Linked DNA regions of Oryctolagus cuniculus. The protein of the gene in region 2 purifies or fractionates together with the protein of the main gene of each other region. This does not show direct contact. Links are inferred from orthologs where the notes say so. Each region holds a gene or a part of one and is shown on either strand. Other genes may lie near its edges.

Region 1 (3,811 bases), on a different chromosome or scaffold from region 2:
TAAATCAAAAATACAAATTGTATTTACTTATTGCATACAACAAAATGTTTGATAGTATACATCCACTATGGAATGACTAAATCAAGCTAATTAACTATAATCACTATATTGTACCAGTTTAGCTGAAATTTTGTACCCTTTGGCCAAAATCTTTCCAATCCCTATCCCCTGCTCTAGGTCCTGTCCTCACCATATATTCTTATTTTTATGTTCATTTAATAGAGATATATCTATTACAGGCAGAGAACTTGAAACGAAAACCCAGTTTCGGCCCTTGCACACAGGGGAACAAGGTCGTGAAAGGAGCGAGGCTTGGTGTGGTGCCGCCATTTCTTCCTTCCTCGGTCTCTGTGCCTCCCACAGAGCTTCCAGTAGCACCATGTTGGAACACAGCATCTGGAGGTTCACAACCTCTGAGGTCCGTAGGAGCCACTGTGAGGAGGGCCCAGGGAAGAATTTGCCATTTTCAGTGGGAAACAAGTGGAGGTTGCTAGCTATGATGACTTTGTATCTTGGATCTAGATTTACTGTACCTTTCTTCATAGTACAACACTAACTGCTTAAGAAATAAGCATGTTTTAGGTCCTCCATTTAACAGATAACAGCATTTCAAGAGGTGCAGTCTCTGAAAAATGGATCAGACTCTTGAACTCATAGCATACTAGATAAGTTTGTAAATAAAATTTCAACTTGAATGCTTAATGCCTCTTCTCATATATAGGGAATGTGATAATTGAGTGTGTGCCTACTTTATTATTTGGATAATATTCTAGTATTAGTTTCTTAATCAAGATGTGTATGATTTAGCTTGTTATATGACCTATTTATTTAATTTTTTATTTTTTGGATTAAGACATTGTTGAAATGTATGATATAACAGAAATGCAAAGTCAACTACTGTCTATAACTTTCTTTTAAACTTAAAGGGAGAGAAAAGATTTAAGAGCTTATATTTTTTCCAGGCCTATAACATTAAGCTGAAATTTTGGGTCTGATAATTGTACTGCTGATCAGTATTAGTCTTGTTCAGGCTGAATAAAAGAATATTTAAAATGGAAGCATATAGTGTAGGAAGTATTCCAAACAAATTTACTCTGGAGTTTAATTAGTAGCAAGGAGATAAAAGATAACAATTACATTATGCTTTAAAATCTTAAGGGCCTAGTTTGTAGGAGAAAGTATTTAGCAATTGAATATTTTAATGGTTTGGTTGCTACTGGAATATGAATAGACAAATAATATAAAGTAGATTGTAAACTGGTAGTCTCTCTGGCCTCCAGACTTTGGTGAGAAGATGCTGTATTGTTTTTAAATAACATATATATTTCTAGATTCTTGAACAAAAAAAAAAAGAAAAGAAAATCCAAACTCTTACTATGAAAAAAATCTGGCTTTTTTCTACCTCACCTAATAAATCTCATCCCAAACTAGGGTTCCTTGCCTACTATTTGAGCAGATTATCCTGCTTCGAGGAAATTTCTTGCCTTAGAGCCTTGCCCCTTGAGGTTTCTCCTGCTGAGGCCACTTTTCTTGGCAAAGCTTGCCCCTTCTCACTTCACTTCCTCAGAGAGGCCTTCTCTGAGCCCCTGTCCACGCCAGATCCCATTTCCCACCTATCTGTTACATTCTACCATAGAGACCTGCTTTTTCCCATTCACATTAGAGTTTAAAATTCAATGAAAGCAAGGATCTTTTCAGTTTTGTTCAGAAGTATACCAAAGGCCAAGCGTAATGCTTTTTCTTAAGTATATTTTCAAGAACACTGAATGAAATGGTAGGGAAGCCAATCAATGAATTCAGCAGTTCCGATTTATAATCCTTACATATTTTCTAAACCACATGTGGGACTGAAAAATGTAAGCAAGAACAAAGATGTCTTACCTCCTGCAATGACAAAATGGCTTAGGGCATTTTTATTTCGGTACACATTTAGACTAGTGTTCACTGTGCTGAAAAGGAGGAGGGAAAAAGAAAACATAAGATTTAAAGCATAGCCCATTTACCTTCTCAACTGCTATTTTCACTAAATGATAGCTTTAGAGGTTCCTGCTCTAACAGGTCCTAGGTCTAGGCCCCTTCAATGTGCTCCAGACAGCCAGTACAGCTCTGGGCTCACTAGGTGGCTCTCCTGCTGAAGAATGAACCAAACAACAATCGCATTTCAGGAACAAAGAATCACTTAGAAACAGAAACATAAAGAAGAGTTTGCAGATTTTCTCTTTCTTAGAAATATTATATCTATTTGATCTAATTGGCAGACCTGCAACGCAGAGGCAAAATTCTGACTGGGTCGTTTTCACAAGACCATCCTGGAGCACACAGATGGACAAAAGTCTTGAAAAAAAGGCATCATGTGGCTTTCCAGTTTTTATACTGCCTGCTGCTACTTCCTAACAACACCAAGACGCCTGACAGTCCAGGGAAAACTTACTTGAATATGGTCACGAACACCGCGGTTCTCCAGCTCCAGCGCCAGCCGTACCGTATGAAACCTCGCGTGGCAGCGCGGTGAGCACTTTGCTGAAGTTAACAAAGAAAAGCTGTCAGATGCCAAGAAACCTGACTACTTTCCTGTTTCAAAAACTACATTGGAGGGGGCTGGCGCTGTAGCACAGTGGGTTAAAGCTGAGGCCTGCGGCGCTGGCATCCCATATGGGCGTTGGTTCGAGTCCCGGCTATGTCGCTTCCAAGCTGTTATGGCCTGGGAAAGCAATAGAAGATGGCCTGAGTCCCTGGGCCCCTGCACCCACGTGGGAGACCCAGAAGAAGCTCCTGGCTCCAGATCGGTGCATCTCTGGCCATTGCGGTCATTTGAGAAGTGAACCAGCACATAGAAGACCTCTCTCTCTGTCTCTGGCTCTACCTCTCTGTAACTTTTTCAAATAAATAAATTCAAAAAAAAAAAAAAAAAAAAAAAGACAAACCCTACAGTGGAGGAAAGTCTAGGGACATCATTCTTTAGATACTGACACTTAAGGCAAAATCCAATGTGCATGCTACTCTATCAGGAGATGGAAAAGGAACTAAGGAGTATCAGTGTCAACCATGTAATTCGTCAATTAAGTATCTGCTAAGAATCTGTGGCAACCACCATGGGCAGATGCAAAATCAGTATCAGACATTTTCTTTACATGCAGGAAATATTAGGGAAAAAGTAAAGAACAACTACTAAGTAAATGCTAAATTAAAGGGCAGGAATTAAAGGATACAGATATGCAGGAAAAAAAGAACTAATATTTACTGACCACCTGCTATATGTTAATATATTATTTTCACTTAATCTTTACAACATGCTTTCCAGAAAGGGGATTTAGTATTAACTAAAGTTTAGGAAAAAGAATTTATATCTTTCCTAATTTTTTAAAGATTTATTTTATTTATTTGAAGGAGCTACAGAGAGAGGTAGAGACAGAGAGAGAGGTATTCCATCCACTGGTTCACTCCCCAGATGGCCACAGCGGCCAGAGCTGCCGCCGATCCAAAGCCAGGAGCCAGGAGTTTCTTCCAGGTCTTCCATGTGGGTGCAGGGGCCCAAGGACTTGGGCCATCTTGTACTGCTTTCCCAGGCTATAGCAGAGAGCTGGATTGGAAGAGGAGCAGCCGAGACTAGAATGGGATGCCAGAGCTTCAGGCCAGGGCTTTAACCCTCTGCTCCACAGCGCCAGCTCCTTCTTAATTTTTTTTTTTTTTTTTTTTTTAGGATTTATTTACTTATTTGAAAGGCAGAAGACAGAGAGAAAGGAAGACACAGAAAGAAAGAGATCTTCCATTTGATAGCTCACTCCTCAAATGTCTCCATGACTTTGGCTGG
Region 2 (3,811 bases):
GGGCCTCGCTGATGCACTGCCAGGCGGCCTCTGAGCTGAACACCTGCAGGGACCCAGGGAGAGGTCAGCACAGGGGCACCGGGGCCCAATCCCTTCCCAGCAGAGCGGCCAAGGCACCAGGAGCAGCGCGGTGGCTGAGACGGACTGGGCTTTGGGATGACACTGACCCAGGGAGGAACTGGCTGCATGACCGGAAGTCCTCAGCCTTCCTCAACCCCACCACCGGCCTGCGGTGCCCATCCCTGCCCTGGCCTTCCACACCTCTGGGCCCGCCTCCATGCCTGCGTCAGCTCCTGTTTTTCAGTTCCCACTGAAGAAAGGTTCCACCTCGTGCAGCAAGCCCAGCCGCACCAGCCCCACCACCCGGGACTCGTCCTCTGCACTCGCACCGGCAGCCAGGCCCTGTTTCTGTCCCTCCACACCGCGAGCGACTGGGGGAGGAGACACTGCCGGATTCAGCTCCAGGCTTGGCACCCAGAAGAGGCACAGCCTCCGTGGGTGGGCGCTGGTGATGGCTGAGGCACAACCAACACACAGACTCACCCACAGGGGACTCACTGAGCGCCAGGAACCGTGTGACCTCCAGGGAGAAGGCCCTGCCCCGCCCGGGCGAGCCCTGCACTGGGCGTCTCCCACCCAGTCTCTCAAGCCCAAGTCGGAGCCCAGTGCGGGAATGATTCAGGGCAACCAAGTGGGGCAGCCATCTTACTTATTCCACCTGACACTGAGCCCTGCCTACGAACACCAACAGAAAGCCCCAGGATCTCCCACTGCAAATACCCCACACGAGGAAGCCCAGGACCAGGAAGTAGGGGGAACAGATGGTCCCTCCCAGCGAGCCCGCTGCCCCACGCCCTGCTGTGACGTCCCAGCAATGGCTGGCTACGTCTCCTCTTGCTGCTGAGCACTGACCTCTGGAAAAGCTGCCCCGCGCCGCCCTGGGGAGCACCGTGCTGCCTGCAAACCGACGCACGGCCGGGCCTGTGCTTTGCTGCTTCTCCCCTGCGCGACCCCAGGGCCTGCCTACCCCTGGGGTGCGGTCCCCGGGGTGCGTCGTAAACACGAGCCCGCTGGGAGCTGGCCCGTGAACCGACAAGAGGAGGGAGGCGGGAGGGAGGCAGGAGGCAGCCCCGCGGTTGGAGGCCAAGGCGACGGAGCCTTTCTGAGTCCCTCCTGCACCGGCTCCCGGGCTCTCACGCCGGGATTACCTTCACCATGGCGGCCTCGATGGAGCAGTCGGGGAAGCCGGGCTGGTCCAGCATCCCCGCGGTGAGGTAGGACATACTTTCCATCACGTAGGCCTTCTGAGCCATCAGTGCAAACTTTTCCTGGAGGATTAAACACACACACACACACCCATCAAGTCATCTGCTTAGCTGAGATCCAATCTGCCTATCAGCCGAGCAGGCCTTTACGTCAGAGGGCTCACCGCTCAGGAGAGCCGTGCCCCAGGCTGGCGCTGTGGTGTGGGTTAAGACGCCACCTACAATGTCAGTGTCCCTTATGCGAGCAGGGTCATATCCTGGCTGCTCCATTTCATATGCAGCCCCTTACTGATGTACTTGGAAATGCAGCAGAAAGTGGCTCTAGTGCTTGGGCACCTGAACCCACATGGGAGACCCAGATGGAGTTCTAGGCTCTCAGCTTCAGCCTGGCTCAGCCAGGACCATTCAGGTAGTGAACCATTGGATGAAAGGTCTCTCTCTCTCCTCTCTCTCTGTCTCTCCCTCTCTCTCCATAACTCTTTCCAAAAAAAAAAAAACAACCACAGAGCAAGAAGGGGTGGGGGAGAGTGAACTACACCCATGCTTAAATAAAAGGAAGGGACCTCATCATCAAACCTTATTCAGCCATCTTTGCACGCCCCGCATGGGAGTCACAGGTGCAGGGAGGGCAGACAGCACACTTTGCGTGTCTACAAAGTGAAGTCAAGAAGCACAGCACTCGTGAGCATGAGTACCTGAATTAATCCGAATTCACTGAGATTCTTGTTGAACTGCTTCCTCGTGCAGGCATATTCAGCGGTCATTTCTGCAGAAGAGCAGAGTTGTTACAAAGAACCAGAATATCTCTGGTTGGCCAGCATGGTCTCATAGGCTATCACCATTACCCTTCTGACACTCAGGCAGCAACTGGGAGACAGGTGTCTGCTGAGACCAATACCCCAACAACTAGAGCCCTCTTACAGTAGGCCGTGGTCAGGGACCTGGGTTAGAATCCTGCACCATCCTCAGCAGGCAGGAGGCGGCCGAAACGCTCATCTCCCTGAACACTGCCCGGCTTACTGAGTTGCTGCCAAGATGAAACCAGATGGAAGGTGAGGGATGCCTCGCACAAAGTTAGGGCCAACAGTGCCACACAGAGGTGGAGTGGCCCAGGCGTGGCACGGGTACTCACGTGCACGGCAGGAGGGCCTGGGCTTGAAGGCATATAGTTGAGCTCTGCAACCCCCCCCGCTGCTGCCAAATGCTCCCACAGGCGTGATCCAGTCTCCCAGAGGTCTCAGCATGAGTCCCTGCATCAGCACGCTTCTGGGCTGTGGGAATTCCTCAGAGGTTCTGCCTCCTTTGGAGAACACGCTGACCATGAAAGCCCCAACTCGGACACTAAGGGGTCTATCAGATGGGGAAGCAGAGGCCTCATGCAGGAAAACCCCAGACTAAGCCTGTGTGCGTCCATCTTGTCCTGACCGAGAGGTACGGTGCACTAAGGAACACGCAGTTCCTAAGCAACCTGCTCCGTGCAGTCAATCCCATGAGAATGGTGATGGGCTGTTTTAAGTTCATGGGCAAACGAAAATGTAGGTTTTCCATGTGCTGATAGCAAAGAACAAAGGGAGATCCAAGCTGAGGGACAGGGGAGGATCCCAGGCCAGTCACCTCTGGGACGGGAACCTGGGAGGGTCACAGCAGCAGCCCCTCCCTGCCCCTGCCAGGACGTCCTCCCTCGCCCCTGCCCTTTGTGTGCAGGAGAAACAGGAACGCTGAGATACAAGCCCTGGGGAGGACCTTCTTTGCTCTGAACCACGGATCAGATGCTCCACCAGTGCTGACCACCCAGCCAGGTGGCCCAGCTCAGCCACCCAAAGGGGAAGGGGTGCTGGGCATCAAAGCTTCCCAGAGGAGACACCAATCCCCCGGGGGCACAGTAGGGAGGGGATGGCCGTCTCCCAGGCTGCAGTGGGGCAGCAGAGGGCCCCTGGCCCCCACTTACCTACCAATCAACCTCTTGAGCATCCCGGCCACTGTGCTGCCCATGCTGAACCGCCCGCTGTTGAGGATGTTCATGGCCACCTGCAGAGATCCAGAAAGCTCAAGGGCACTTAAGAAGACAAAGGTCACAGACCCATGCCCCAGTAATTCCCCTGGTGGTATTTAAACTCAAGAAATAATCAGACAAGGGGTGGTGCAGAACAACAGGTTAAGCCATTGCTTGCAATGCTGGCATCTTACAAGGGTGCTGATTCGAGTTCTGATTATTCCACTTTCAACCCAACTCCCTGCTAATGTGCCTGGAAAAGCAGCAGAAGACAGCCCAGGTACTTGGGCCCCTCAACACACATGGGAATTGCAAATGAAGTTCCAGCCTCCTGGCTTCAGTCTGGCCCAGTCTGAGCCATTGAGGTCATCTGGAGACTACCGGCGGATGGAAGACCTCTCTTGTTCTTTCTGTCTCTGCCTCTCTCCCTGTAACTCTTTCAAATAAATAAAAAAAAATTTTTTTTTAAAATAGAGAAGTGTGCAAGGCAATATCCAAGGATATATGTCACAAAATATGGTTCTGGATTTGGAAGAAATGAACACCATGTCAA

The links.
Region 1: the proteins of ACAD9 (region 2) and TIMMDC1 purify together in Homo sapiens (affinity purification with mass spectrometry; 3 studies listed by BioGRID and IntAct, counting the BioPlex papers as one, with this or other methods). This does not show direct contact. The link is inferred for Oryctolagus cuniculus from reciprocal best matches to the Homo sapiens genes ACAD9 and TIMMDC1.

What each region holds. Positions count from the first base shown.
Region 1 is NC_091435.1:76,014,860-76,018,670, reverse strand, and holds part of TIMMDC1 (complex I assembly factor TIMMDC1, mitochondrial), read right to left. Parts: intron 2,521-3,811; coding exon 2,432-2,520; intron 1,950-2,431; coding exon 1,882-1,949; intron 433-1,881; coding exon of another isoform or gene 212-432; exon of another isoform or gene 1-211.
Region 2 is NC_091441.1:111,772,713-111,776,523, forward strand, and holds part of ACAD9 (complex I assembly factor ACAD9, mitochondrial), read right to left. Parts: intron 3,294-3,811; coding exon 3,218-3,293; intron 2,032-3,217; coding exon 1,961-2,031; intron 1,329-1,960; coding exon 1,209-1,328; intron 44-1,208; coding exon 1-43. UniProt on the Homo sapiens protein: As part of the MCIA complex, primarily participates in the assembly of the mitochondrial complex I and therefore plays a role in oxidative phosphorylation.